3 linked regions of the Kluyveromyces lactis genome follow. The protein of the gene in region 3 interacts with the protein of the main gene of each other region in a biochemical or structural test. Links are inferred from orthologs where the notes say so. Each region holds a gene or a part of one and is shown on either strand. Other genes may lie near its edges.

Region 1 (4,242 bases), about 720 kb from region 3:
CTTCAATCTTGCCCTCATTAGGGTTTGAATCTATATTGGACGGAAAACACTTTGATAAACTCCGTTACCCGGAGTAAGGAGATCATTCACACTAACATGAAATTTTTTTTGCCAGTATATAAAATCAGATACATATTTCTTCGTTTCCACTTATAGGCCTTTCAATGATTAAATACATTAGAACTATTTTAGTTTAACCTTAGTTACTATTTGTTTCCTAAAAGATCAACATCAATATTATCGCTCCACGGTTATCCCTGTGTAAGATTTCGTTCTGCGCGGGGACCGGGTTATGTGTTGTTCACTATTTCCTGGTTTTAATAATTTGTGTTGAAGCGTAGATTTAATACCAAGTACGTTGCTGGGCGCCTGATATTGAGTCAATTTGATTATGATCTATTGGGAATCAGCTGTATCTACATTTTCTCCACTTTAATGACCGTAATGTTTATAATTCTTGGTAGTATTTCTTACTTTCGTTTATTTTATTATATTTAGGAACTTCCGTCGCGGTTATGTACAGAGAGCGTTACTATAGAGCATTCTTTCTAGTTAGATAATCAAACCTAGAGTACGTGTACCCGATGAATGGTAAATCTTCCTTTGCATTGGATTGAGGAACCCCTTGTTGCTGTGTCATCATCTGTTCTCTTTGTCTTGCAGCTTGTGCCATTGCTGGTGAATCAGGGACATTTTCTAATTCATCAGTTGGGAAGAACCTAGTATCTGTGACACTGGACAACTTAGGAATATAAGGAGCTTCCACTTGCCTGATAGTGTTCCAATCAACACCACTGAAGAAAGGATGTGCCTTAATTTCATCGGCACCACCATGTCTACCTAGACGATTTTCAGAGTGAGTTAACAATCTTCTGATTAGATCTTCAGCTTCATAAGAAATATGAATATCATCGGGGAATTGCAAAGTTTGTTCGAAATTCATGATCTTACGATACGTTTCTTGTGGTGTTTCAGAGCAAAATGGAGGCCAACCAATTAGACACTCGTACATAATAGCTCCTAATGACCACCAATCACATTCCTGACCATAACCTTGGTACAGGAAAATTTCAGGTGCAATATAATCCGGAGTACCAACAGTAGAGTATGCCATTAGTCTACGCGACTTTCTCCAAGTTTGCATTTGTTGTCTATTTGTCATGGTTAAATGAATGGCGTCAACCAACATTGTATTTCTATTACCATTGTTTGTTTCGTTTGGGAGCTGAGGTTTTTGTAGATTTAATTGCTGTTGTTGCTGTTGTTGTTGCTGTTGTTTCTTTGCCTCGTCCTCTTGTAATAACTTTTTGTAGTAACTTGAATCGTGAGTCTTATGGAACCCCGTACTCAAACCAAAATCTGATAGTTTAATGTGGCCTCTAATATCTATCAAGATATTATCTGGTTTAATATCTCTGTGAATAAAGCCCAATTTATGAATGACCTCGATAGCAAGTATACATTCTGCCATGTAGAATCTTGTCACATCTTCTGTGAAAATTTGCCATCTGATTAACATGGTCATCAAGTCACCACCCGGCAAAAACTCCATAATTAAATACAAATATTGTGAATCTTGAAAGGAATAATACAATGAAACAACCCACGGAGAATCACTTCCCGCTAGAACATCCCTTTCAGCCTTTACGTGAGCTAACTGATCTTTGTTGTACATTTCCGATTTCAGCAATGTTTTCATAGCATATATCTTGCCTGTGTCTTTCTTTTGTACCAATCTAACTTCACCAAAGGCACCTTTACCGATGACTTTCACTGAATTGAAGTCGTCCAACGATAATCTCGTTCTACGTAGTCTCAAAAATTGTGACTCCTTTTTACCTAAAGAAGCAAGCTGTCTATTCTTACGTTCCTCGGACCAGTCCTGGGATGCCAATTCGGATTCCAGTTCCAATCTTCTTTGATTTCTTTCAATAGCATAACCAACACTACTCTGATAAAAGTTCTCTATCTTGAGCTTAACAGCAGCTGCTTTGTCTTGGGTAGTTTTGGTCAATAGGTCAGGTCTTCTCTCAAAATACATGTAATTATTCGCCGATCCATTCTGTTGTTGAGCTTGCTGCTGAGACTGTTGCTGAGTTTGTCGTTGTCCTTGCTGCTGGGCCTGTTGAGTTTGTTGTTGCTGCTGCTGCTGCTGCTGCTGCTGCTGTGCATGATACGTATTGTGTTGAGGTGACTGAGGTTGGGAAGAGCTTTGTTGCTGAGTAAATGTTGGCGGTGTTTGCTGTGTCTGTTGATGTACCGATCTCACAGGACTCTGTTGACCATTCTGCTGTTGCTGCAGTGGTGGCGGGATGTACAAACCGGACTCACTGGCAACAGAATATTGACCGGGAGATGTATGCTGAGCGGATTGATATACCTTCGAATTAGAGTTGTTGTTATGTGAATAAATGCTTTGAGTTGGTGGTGGAGTCGCTGGATAATTCAAGTTGGGCACATCAGTAAACCCTCCATTCGGATAATATTGATTATTATGCGACTGAGGTTGCGATTGCTGTTGGGTCAGACGGTCTTGTAAAGACGGCTGTGATCCTTGTTGTTTCATATAATTGGTGCTGAACATGGGCTGAGAAGGTTCCGAAAAGGGCATGTTTCCCTGTTGCTGAAAATCGTTTGGACGACCAGAAGGCTGTTGATAGTAGTTCTGATTCGAATATCCACCGTACATTACGTGTTGTTGCTGAAGTAGCGACGTCCAAACGGCCTTGTTGACGTGAAATATGTCTCTAAACGTTAACAGTATAGTTTCATGTTCGTTGTTTTCTAAAACAAGTTTGATTCGATGTTTTTGTTTTTCCAATGAAATTGGCGATTATGGCAAATATTGAAAACATATTTTAGACAATGGAATGAAAAAAGTGGTATACATGGTGAGTATGTACATGTTATATTAGCTAAGGTCATATGTAAGCTTTACTGCCTGCAGGATCAATAATGTAGCCTGAGTCCTACGCTATTCTTTGTAAACAATTCTTGTTAATAAACTCTTATGCGTTCTGCTGAAAATTATACTTAGAATACGTATAATACAAATCGCAAAGTGAAGAAGTACCCAGTGGAGACTAAACTATACAAATGACAGATATGAGATTATAAATGTGATGAAAGAGTATATGTGAATTCGTAATACTTATAGAAAAGTTAAAAAATTGACAAATGGTAACAAATTGGTCTTCCAAAAGATAATCTCAGAATTGCAAAGCTTGACCCTTTTGCTTCTTTTCACCACCCAATTCGAAGTGCTTACATCTCTTCAAAGCCAATTGGGTCTTGGTCTTACAGGACATACATTCCAATCTCAAAACGACCTTCTTGGTAGTCTTAGCTTTCTTGTGGAAAATTTGCTTGGTTTGACCACCGAAACCAGATTGTTTACGGTCATATCTTCTCTTACCTTGAGCGTACAAGGAAGCCTTACCAGCCTTGTATTGGGTAACCTTGTGTTGGGCGTGCTTACGGCACTCCTTACCCTTACAGTAAGTCTTTCTGGTCTTTGGAACGTTAACTGTTAGAAATTAACATATCATAAGATAGTGATACATGTCGATGTTAGTAAAAAAATATTCTTTAGCTTCATCCAGCTTATTTTGATTGCAGGAATTCTATTCTCTTCTTCTTATTGTATAGGGAGGTCCAGGCTATCTGAACCCCAGTTGTTTAATACGACTGAGTTCCTGTTAATTATGTTCAGTCAGTGTAGCGTTGACTTCACTGATATACAATTCTCTGAGGTTGTCTCGACTACACCGAATTAAGAAACATAGGGACAACAAATAACCCAAATTACTTCCTCCAGCGTGAACAGGGTTTTATGCTAGTGAATCGTCCATACTTCGACCAAAATACTGATCTTTTGATATAGTTCACCAACTCAAATGAACTCTCCCCCCTTGTCGATGCAATATCTGAATTTCCAATACGGTTGGTGTTTTCTCATTGATTCACTCTGAAATGCTGTATTCTGTTAAATAACCATAGCTCATTTCATGTTCACTTGGTACTAAACTTCAAACGTTCCATTCTTCCCTCAGGATACCAAAAATCGAATAAACCACTGACAATCTCCACGGTATATTTTAAATCTTGTTCACATACCCATTGTGACTGATTTGATCTCTGTTGAGTTACGCTTTCTGAATGTACTGAAACAAATAGGTGCTATAACAATCAACTATACGATATATCTACTATGATGAACTTTCCTTGTGTAATATTTTAATG
Region 2 (4,239 bases), on a different chromosome or scaffold from region 3:
AGTGGCATGGAGGGAAATTGATCCTGATGGTGTAGGGCAATTTGATGTCGCGTACTTACCAAAATTCATGCACTCGTTTGATGGACCCCTCTCGTTTAAAATTTGGGAGGGAAGACTTACTGTTAAGAGTTTGGTGTCTAAATACATGAAAGTAAACCCAAACGATCCATATGATGTTGAAATTGATCACTTCGGACTCAGCAAAGAACTTTCCTCTATAGACTATCAAAAAGTGAACGCCAGACGACTAGATTATAACAGATTTGTCCATGAAATTCAGCTGGGAAATAAGAGATACAACGCCGTGCAGTTCAATCAGCTGATGGAAACAGTTCCATTGTACACTACATATAACAAGACTGAATGTCTTGGGATCGATGATTATGTGAAAAATTTATACGACATGAACAAAGTTGATAAACTGATCCGGAACGAGAGAAACTACGATACCATGCTAATGGTTGTCGCAAGATGGAAATTTTTACTGAACCGTAGAGGCAAGATACAACTACCTAAAATAATGGTGCCAATATCCTCTTATCCAAACGGATCCACTGAAGATTTCGAGCTTGAGTTTAAGTCACCTGTTTTAAATACCCAGGAATCAGAGTTTATGTGGTCGCCAGGCCGTCGCAACAATCACTGGTTTGAAGAAGATGAAAGTAGCTCAAAAGAAAATACATCTCGAACTCTGATCAAAGACACATCTACCAAACCAGGAACAACCGACTCATCCTCATCATCATCTTAGATCAATGAGTACCTAATCTTAATTTATGTTCCATCATTTGTTACATATATAGACTTGTATACCCACAGAAGAGTACCTTTTTTGATTAACTAAAGGAAAAGATTTCAGATCACGTGTATGTTTGGGCGCCACGCCTAAAGCCATCACAAGGCACGAATTTAGTTACCCTACCATTATTGATTTTTCGAAAGAAGCAGTTTTACTAAAGCCAAAACCTTCAATTGATAGGGTTTGGGGTCTAAAGTAAACAGAATGTTAACATGTATTTGTTAGATAAATTTTAGATCTGGCAGCGTGCTATCGAGTCACTTTTGTTCGTACTAGATTCAACCGTTACTGTTCAGTGCTAAATAAGAAAACTATAGTCCGGTGTATTTTTTTTTCTTTCTTTATTATTTATTTCGGAAATTGCAGCTGTGAATTCGAATCTTGGTGGAATTTATACAGCAGACTAAAGGAACAAGACATTGCATTTAATTAATCAGGGTCTTTTCATAAGAAGGATACTACTGCACTGTACTCATAGGAAAATAGTAAAAAGAGATCCACACACACGTTCTTCTTTCTAAATCAATATGGAGGCTGTTTTAGACTTTTCTCGGGACTTAGACATCCAGCTCCTAGATCAAGTGGTGGATACCTTTTTCAAGGGCTCTGGTGCGTCTCAAAAGGAGGCACAAGAGGTTCTTACTAAATTGAAGGACCATCCAGATGCTTGGCAAAGGGCTGATAAAATCTTGCAGTATTCAAATAATCCGCAAACGAAGTTCATTGGGCTTTCCATTTTGGATAAGTTAATTACGACGAAATGGAAGATGTTACCTCAGGAGCATAGACTTGGAATTCGTAATTTCATCGTTGGAATGATTATTTCAATGTGTCAAGATGATCAGGTTTTCCAAACTCAGAAGAATTTGATTCATAAGTCTGATTTAACCTTGGTTCAAATTCTTAAGCAGGACTGGCCAGAAAACTGGCCAGACTTCATCCCGGAGTTGGTTCTCAGTTCCCAAGCTAGTGTAAACGTATGTGAAAACAACATGGTAATGCTAAAGTTATTAAGTGAGGAAGTCTTTGATTTCTCTGCAGAGCAAATGACGCAAGCTAAAGCACTACATTTAAAACAATCTATGGATCAACAATTTGAACAGATTTTCAATCTATGTTACGAAATTTTGGAAACCGCATCTTCTCCATCCCTTATGGTGGCCACTTTGCAATCTCTTTTGAGATACTTGCATTGGATCCCATACCGTTACATCTACAACACTGATATTTTGCAATTGTTGAGTACGAAATTTTTAGTCTCTGCTGACACCAGAGCTATTACTTTGAAATGTTTGACTGAAGTTTCTCAACTTGATATTCCAGCAAATGACCCAAAGATTGCTTCGTTAACTGTAATGTTTTTCCAAAATGCTTTGCAACAAATTGCTGTTAACGTTATACCGGTGAATGCTGACTTGAAGAACACATATGCTACTGCTAATGGCAACGATCAATCATTTTTGCAAGATTTTGCCATGTTCTTGACTACCTATTTGGCCAGACACCGTTCAATATTAGAAGATGATGAATCCTTGAGGGAACTATTAATTACTGCGCATCAATATTTGATTGAACTTTCGAAGATTGACGAAAGAGAATTGTTCAAAACGACTTTGGACTACTGGAATAATTTGGTTTCGGCCTTGTACCAAGAGGTGCAACAAATCCCTCAAAATCAGAATAACGTCCTATTGAAACTATCTCAAGGATCGAATATGTTCTCAGGGAGCAATGGTGCTCCTCACCCGGAATTCTTGAAAAGGTTCCCGTTAAAGAAACACATTTACGATAACATCTGTTCTCAGTTAAGATGGGTTATAATAGAATCGATGGTTAGACCAGAGGAAGTTCTTATTGTGGAAAACGATGAAGGTGAAATCGTCAGAGAGTTTGTTAAGGAGTCGGACACAATTCAGTTATATAAGTCCGAAAGGGAAGTACTTGTTTACTTGACGCATTTAGATGTTCTTGATACTGAAGACATCATGTTGAATAAATTGGCAAAGCAACTTGATGGCTCTGAATGGTCATGGCACAACATCAACACATTGTGTTGGGCTATTGGTTCTATTTCTGGTACTATGGACGAGGAAACTGAGAAAAAATTTGTCGTTACAATCATTAAAGATCTTTTAGCCTTGACTGATAAAAAGCGCGGTAAGGACAACAAGGCTGTTGTTGCATCGAACATTATGTACGTTGTCGGTCAGTACCCACGTTTCTTAAAAGCTCATTGGAAGTTCTTGAAGACAGTCATTCTAAAACTATTTGAATTTATGCATGAAACCCATGAGGGTGTTCAAGATATGGCCTGTGACACCTTCATCAAGATTGTACAGAGATGTAAACGTCACTTTGTCGTTCAACAGCCAAACGAAAGTGAACCTTTCATCCAGGCAATAATTAGAAACATTCAAGACCACACCTCCGATCTTCAACCTCAGCAAGTACACACATTTTACAAGGCTTGCGGTTTAATTATTTCTGATGAAAGAAACCCAGGAGAAAAACAAAGATTACTAGCAGATTTGATGCAACTCCCTAACATGGCATGGGACGCTATAATTCAGCAATCATCTACTCATCTGGATATTTTGTCGGACCCTGAAACTGTGAAAATCGTTACCAATATTCTAAAGACAAACGTTGCCGTTTGTTCCGCTATGGGTAATGACTTTGCTCCGCAGTTGAGTCGTAACTTCACACCAATGATGTCATTGTGCTCAGCTGTGTCTAGATGTATTTCAACACAAGTAGCCAGCGATGGGATTATTGCTACTAAGACTCCAAAGGTAAGAGGTTTAAGAACAATCAAGAAAGAAATTCTAAAATTAATGGAATTATACATTTCCAGTGCAAAGGATTTAGACTACATCGTAAATGACTTGGCATCAGCACTGTTTGACTCTGTGTTACGGGATTACTACATTACCGTACCAGATGCCCGTGACGCTGAGATTTTAAGTTGTATGACCACACTTGTCAACAAAGTTGGGCCTATGATGATCAGCGGTGTCATTTTGATTTTACAGAGTGTCTTTGAAGCTACATTAGACATGATCAATAAAGATTTCACGGAATATCCGGAACATCGTGTGGAGTTTTATAAATTATTGAGGGCCATCAACTCCAAGTGTTTCGTAGCGATATCTCAACTACCACCACCGGCTTTCAAACTTTTCGTTGATGCCATATGTTGGGCGTTCAAACACAACAACAGAGATGTTGAGGTAAATGGGTTACAAATTGCTTTAGACCTTATTCAAAACGTTGATTCCGCTAGTCCGTCTGAATTCTCTAACGATTTCTACAAGAACTATTACTTCACATTCCTTAGCGAAACCTTCTATGTCCTCACTGATTCAGATCACAAATCTGGATTCAGCAAGCAAGCTCATCTTTTAATGAATTTGATTGCCAGAGTAGAAGAAAATAGAATA
Region 3 (4,282 bases):
TACAGGCCTGAAAAAAGTTTCAACTGCAAAGGTTACAGATCTGAGGGTGGGGGAGAAATCGGACCTGAGATGTCAGATCGGAACTTCTTCTTCTTCCCTCTGTTTCTCAGTGAGAGCGGGGTAGATAGTTGATAAATCACTAACGGTTTTTCTGTTTCCATTGAATAAAATAGTATTAAAAACGTTATAAAAGAACATATTTCAAGAGTACTTAGTGATTTTGAAAGTGTGCAATGTTGGATAAAATTAAGACAAGCCAGTTAGTATCTGCTAAAGATAAAATTCATTCTGACGAATTTTACACACCAGTTGTAGTTTGATTGTACGTCAATTGTTCTTGTACGCGAAGCGCAGCAGTAGTGTGTCCCCTTTGGATGTTTTCTCTTATGACATTCGGCACTTTCTTCGGGGAAACTGGTTTCCTGATCTGATTGCCGCCATTAAGTCTTATAGGCGAAGAATCCAAGTGATCGTAGTAGTCTAGGTCATGATTTTGTTCTTGGTTGCACAAATCTTCTTCATCCAGTCTGCCCTCATGACTTTTACGTTCTTGATGTTTCACAAGAGAATCTTCTGAATGGAACTTCTTACCACAACCTGCACACGAGTAACCTTTCTCTAAATGCGATTTCTTGTGTCGTAGCAAATCATGGTTTCTGACAAAAGCCTTTTGACATCCTGGGAAATCACACTTGTACGGCCTATCGCAAAGATGGGTTTGGATATGAGTTCTCGCGTTGTACCGTCTGTTAAACCTCTTTTGACAATCTTTAAACTTGCATTGGAACTGTTTAGGTCCAATTTCGAGAATGTACTTGTCAATCTGTTCTCTAGGCAGCATGCCATACCGTTTACCGTTCCTTCCCCCACTTACCATGGGGCTGGTGTTCAAATTGGTGTTTAGGCCAATTCCGTTATGATTGGGCCCTAGTCCCAAATCGACATGGTTATGTTGATTGTAAGGGAAATGCACCGGTGATTCAGCAATACAATCGAATCGCTCTTGAGATCGCAGAATTGGAGATGGGGTTTGAGCTTGTACGAACTCGCACTCCGGTTCGTCGTTGTTTCCGTTATTCATGTTCGTTAGACGGCCAGATTTCATATCCTCTTCGCCATCACGTGATGCAAGAATAATGTTTCTAGCATTTTGACCTTTCCTATCGTCAGGCCGTAGAGAAGTCGTGACAGTTTTGTCAAATATTAGTTTCTTTGTTGGAGTATGTTGGAAAGAGTGTTTTACTGGCATGTTCTCGCTGTTCAGCTTATTTGAAAATTGCCTATCAGGTGATTGCTTCTGTTTCAACGGAGTCGTTTCGCTAGATCCAGGAATCATTGGCATTATCTGCAATTGCGGTGGTTTCTTCAATTGGACCCTGCTGTTCAGCGTTATTCCAAGTCCCAGACTGGGTTGCTGTTGGGTTTGTTCTGATTCATGGTCATCCTCACTTTGCATTGGGATCGTAGATGCCGTCGATATCGTACTATCTCTTGCGAAATGCTTGTTCTGATGGCTGTTTTTGTTGTTAATGTTACTGTCAATACTACTTGCTGTTTCTAATCCATCATCACTTCGGGTAGTATGTTTATAATTACAATTCATTGATGGGGTCTTTGGATTATCATATATTTGATCTTGTGGCGTGATTGGTGGACGATTTGAACTTTTCTTGTTATACACCGCACAATTGGATGGACCACGACTTTGATTGTCCGTCAACTCTTGAAAATACTTGGACATCTTCAATAATTGTTCCGTGTTGTTTCCGACAGTACTCGTGCTTGATATAGAAAAGTTCATAGGAGGAGCAAGACGGTTATTACCGTTCTCAACCCCATCATAATTATGTTGACGACGTCTATGTGGAGATCCGTTGACCGATGCCCTTGAAAAGGGCGATAACAGTCCATTCCCCGCTCCCACTGCATACACTTTATTGACATCTTTATTAGGCGATTCGTCCAATTTTGTCCTTTCTCCCATTTGTCTTTGTTGGGATGAATCGTCGGAAGATGGTGGTGGAAATTGATACTTACCGTTCTTACCGTTAGAAGTAATAATTATACTTGTCTCCGGCCTTACCGGTGTGGTAGTAGGGATAGAAGAAACTTGATTTAAAGTCATTTGTTGAGCCTCCAGGGCTCTCTGTAGTTGTTCTTGTTGTAGCTTATTCATTCTTAGTTGATCTTCAAGCTTTTCATTCATCTCCTTTTGTCTTTGTAGAGCCAACTGTAACTCTTTTTGCTGTTGCATAATCGTCTCGCTCATCTTTATTTCTGCAGGCTGGGAAGCCTGCTGTGCTTGCAGTAGTTTTTGCTGTTCCTGTTGCAGGAAGGCCTGCTTCTTCTCATCTAGATTGATTGTCATGGACCCTATGCTTAATGATTTATTATGCTGGGCAAATCCAAAGATGGCAGTACCACTTGGCTTTTTCTTGTGATTTCCTGCGGCCCCACCACCTGGCATAAGTTTTCTTGGAGTGATTGATGGTATTTCTGTATTTACATTTCCAACACCGACAGAAGCATCATTATCGTTTACTACATTCCAATCTAATCCGTTTCCCGGGAACATCTCTAGATCAAGTTTTGAAAGTTCATCCTTAGGAAGTACTGGTATGTCAAGATCTCTTAATTCTTTTGTGAGAAATTCTTCAATATTTATATCCATAACAGGGTTGAAGTTCTCAAAAGCCTCATCTGGAAGAGGATAATCCTGTCCCCCATAGACAGAACCCAGATTATTGGAATTGTTTCTTGAATTCAGCAAATCCATCATGTTTTCTGATATTTCACCATTGTTTCCATCTACGACATCGTATGGATTCTTAATCAAGTTGGACCATTGCTCTGTGCTACTCATTGGTCCAGATTGAATAAACACGGTTCGAATGTATTTTTGTTGGTACTATCAAAAACTTCTTATTTTAATCCCGCTCTTTTAACTTCAAGTCAACTTGGTGTTTGCGCTCTTACCTATGTATCTTAGTATTGAATTATCTTTTCGGTTCCTTGTTGCTTCCAGTCTTTCTTACTTCTAGAGGCTCACTTCAAAAATCGATTGCACCTAACCTAAAGTTGTTCTCCTTGTTAAGTTGTAATATATCTTATGCAAATGATTAAACTGCTAATATCAACGGAGTGTTTCCAATACCTGATGCAACCAATAACAATCGATGTTACAGATGTATGGGGAAGATGGGGAAAACGTAATGAAAGCTTCAACTGGAAGAGTTTCTTGTTATATGAACCAAACAACAGTTGCTGCAAAGTTTATAAAAGAGGTACATAGTTAAAGAAAACACAATTATATGTTTAGATGTAGAAATAGACAATGCAAACATAGCTTCAAGGGCATTATGCTTTGTTCGAACGAGGTTTTTGAAGCGCTATTACCCGATTGGGTTCAAATATCAACATAGCTGTTCATATCAAAACAAAGAAAAAAAAAGGTTGATGCGATTTTTAACATGGCTTAACTAATCGTACTAATTAGGAAAATTCGCATATCTAATCAAGTCATGTGACTGATAGTGACAAGCAAGTTTACCAATTCTGAATGATTTTCTAAGTCAGGCATGTGCCTGATACAAGACTACCGCTTGAAAGTAGTATAAATTGATATTTACAACCTATCAGCGGATTTCGAGAAGGGCATCGAAATCACGTCTACTCCAATCTCCGCCTTGATTTCCTGACATCTAAATTGCAAGTCTGCTCTCAATAGAGGTAACTGTGCCAACGCTTCCGTAGCTAAAATATGTCGTAGATATTTGCTCGACTTTTCAAATTCTTCCGCATTTTTAAATTGTTTATTGTTTGGAATAACTCCGAACGAAATGTGTGCTGTCTCAGGGTCTATCACCTTTGAATGATAAGTTGGCGGGACGTTTCTTTTTATCGCATCAAGAATAGGTTGTAACTGTCGCACTGATGATTTGGATAAATTCAACGTCAAGAACGTGAGACTTGAGTCAAAATTATCGTAGAGACGCCAGTTACCTGCCAGAGAAATTGGAATCGATTTATATTTCAAAGTGGTGATTTCTTTCTTGATTTGAGCAACACTCGTTGCTGTCTCCGCTCCATCGGTGAAATACAACGAAGACGTCAAAGACACATGTAAGGGCTTAATGGTACCTAGCTTTCCACGATGTAAGGGTTCAAAGTTAGTCATATGATGCATGTTCATTACTGAGTTTACGTCGTTCAAAATCATATCAAGCACCCGGTTCTGTTTGGAATCAAGCCGCAGCTGAAGAAACATATAGCAAGTATTTCT

Evidence for each region.
Region 1: of the proteins of KLLA0_D16456g (region 3) and CBK1, one has a biochemical effect on the other in vitro, tested with the Saccharomyces cerevisiae proteins (3 studies listed by BioGRID). The link is inferred for Kluyveromyces lactis from reciprocal best matches to the Saccharomyces cerevisiae genes ACE2 and CBK1.
Region 2: the proteins of KLLA0_D16456g (region 3) and CRM1 form a complex in vitro, tested with the Saccharomyces cerevisiae proteins (2 studies listed by BioGRID, with this or other methods). The link is inferred for Kluyveromyces lactis from reciprocal best matches to the Saccharomyces cerevisiae genes ACE2 and CRM1.

Annotation. Positions count from the first base shown.
Region 1 is NC_006040.1:668,563-672,804, forward strand, and holds CBK1 (serine/threonine protein kinase CBK1), read right to left. Parts: upstream 2,690-4,242; coding exon 533-2,689; downstream 1-532. Other genes in the region: RPL42A (60S ribosomal protein eL42), read right to left, coding at 3,210-3,526, 4,117-4,120. UniProt on the Saccharomyces cerevisiae protein: Protein kinase that seems to play a role in the regulation of cell morphogenesis and proliferation.
Region 2 is NC_006041.1:1,429,079-1,433,317, reverse strand, and holds the start of CRM1 (exportin CRM1), read left to right. Parts: upstream 1-1,326; coding exon 1,327-4,239. Other genes in the region: calcium channel protein CCH1, read left to right, coding at 1-751. UniProt on the Saccharomyces cerevisiae protein: Receptor for the leucine-rich nuclear export signal (NES).
Region 3 is NC_006040.1:1,387,548-1,391,829, forward strand, and holds KLLA0_D16456g (uncharacterized protein), read right to left. Parts: upstream 2,864-4,282; coding exon 299-2,863; downstream 1-298. Other genes in the region: USB1 (phosphoric diester hydrolase), read right to left, coding at 3,626-4,282. UniProt on the Saccharomyces cerevisiae protein: Plays a role in regulating basal-level expression of CUP1. Activates EGT2 transcription in the absence of SWI5.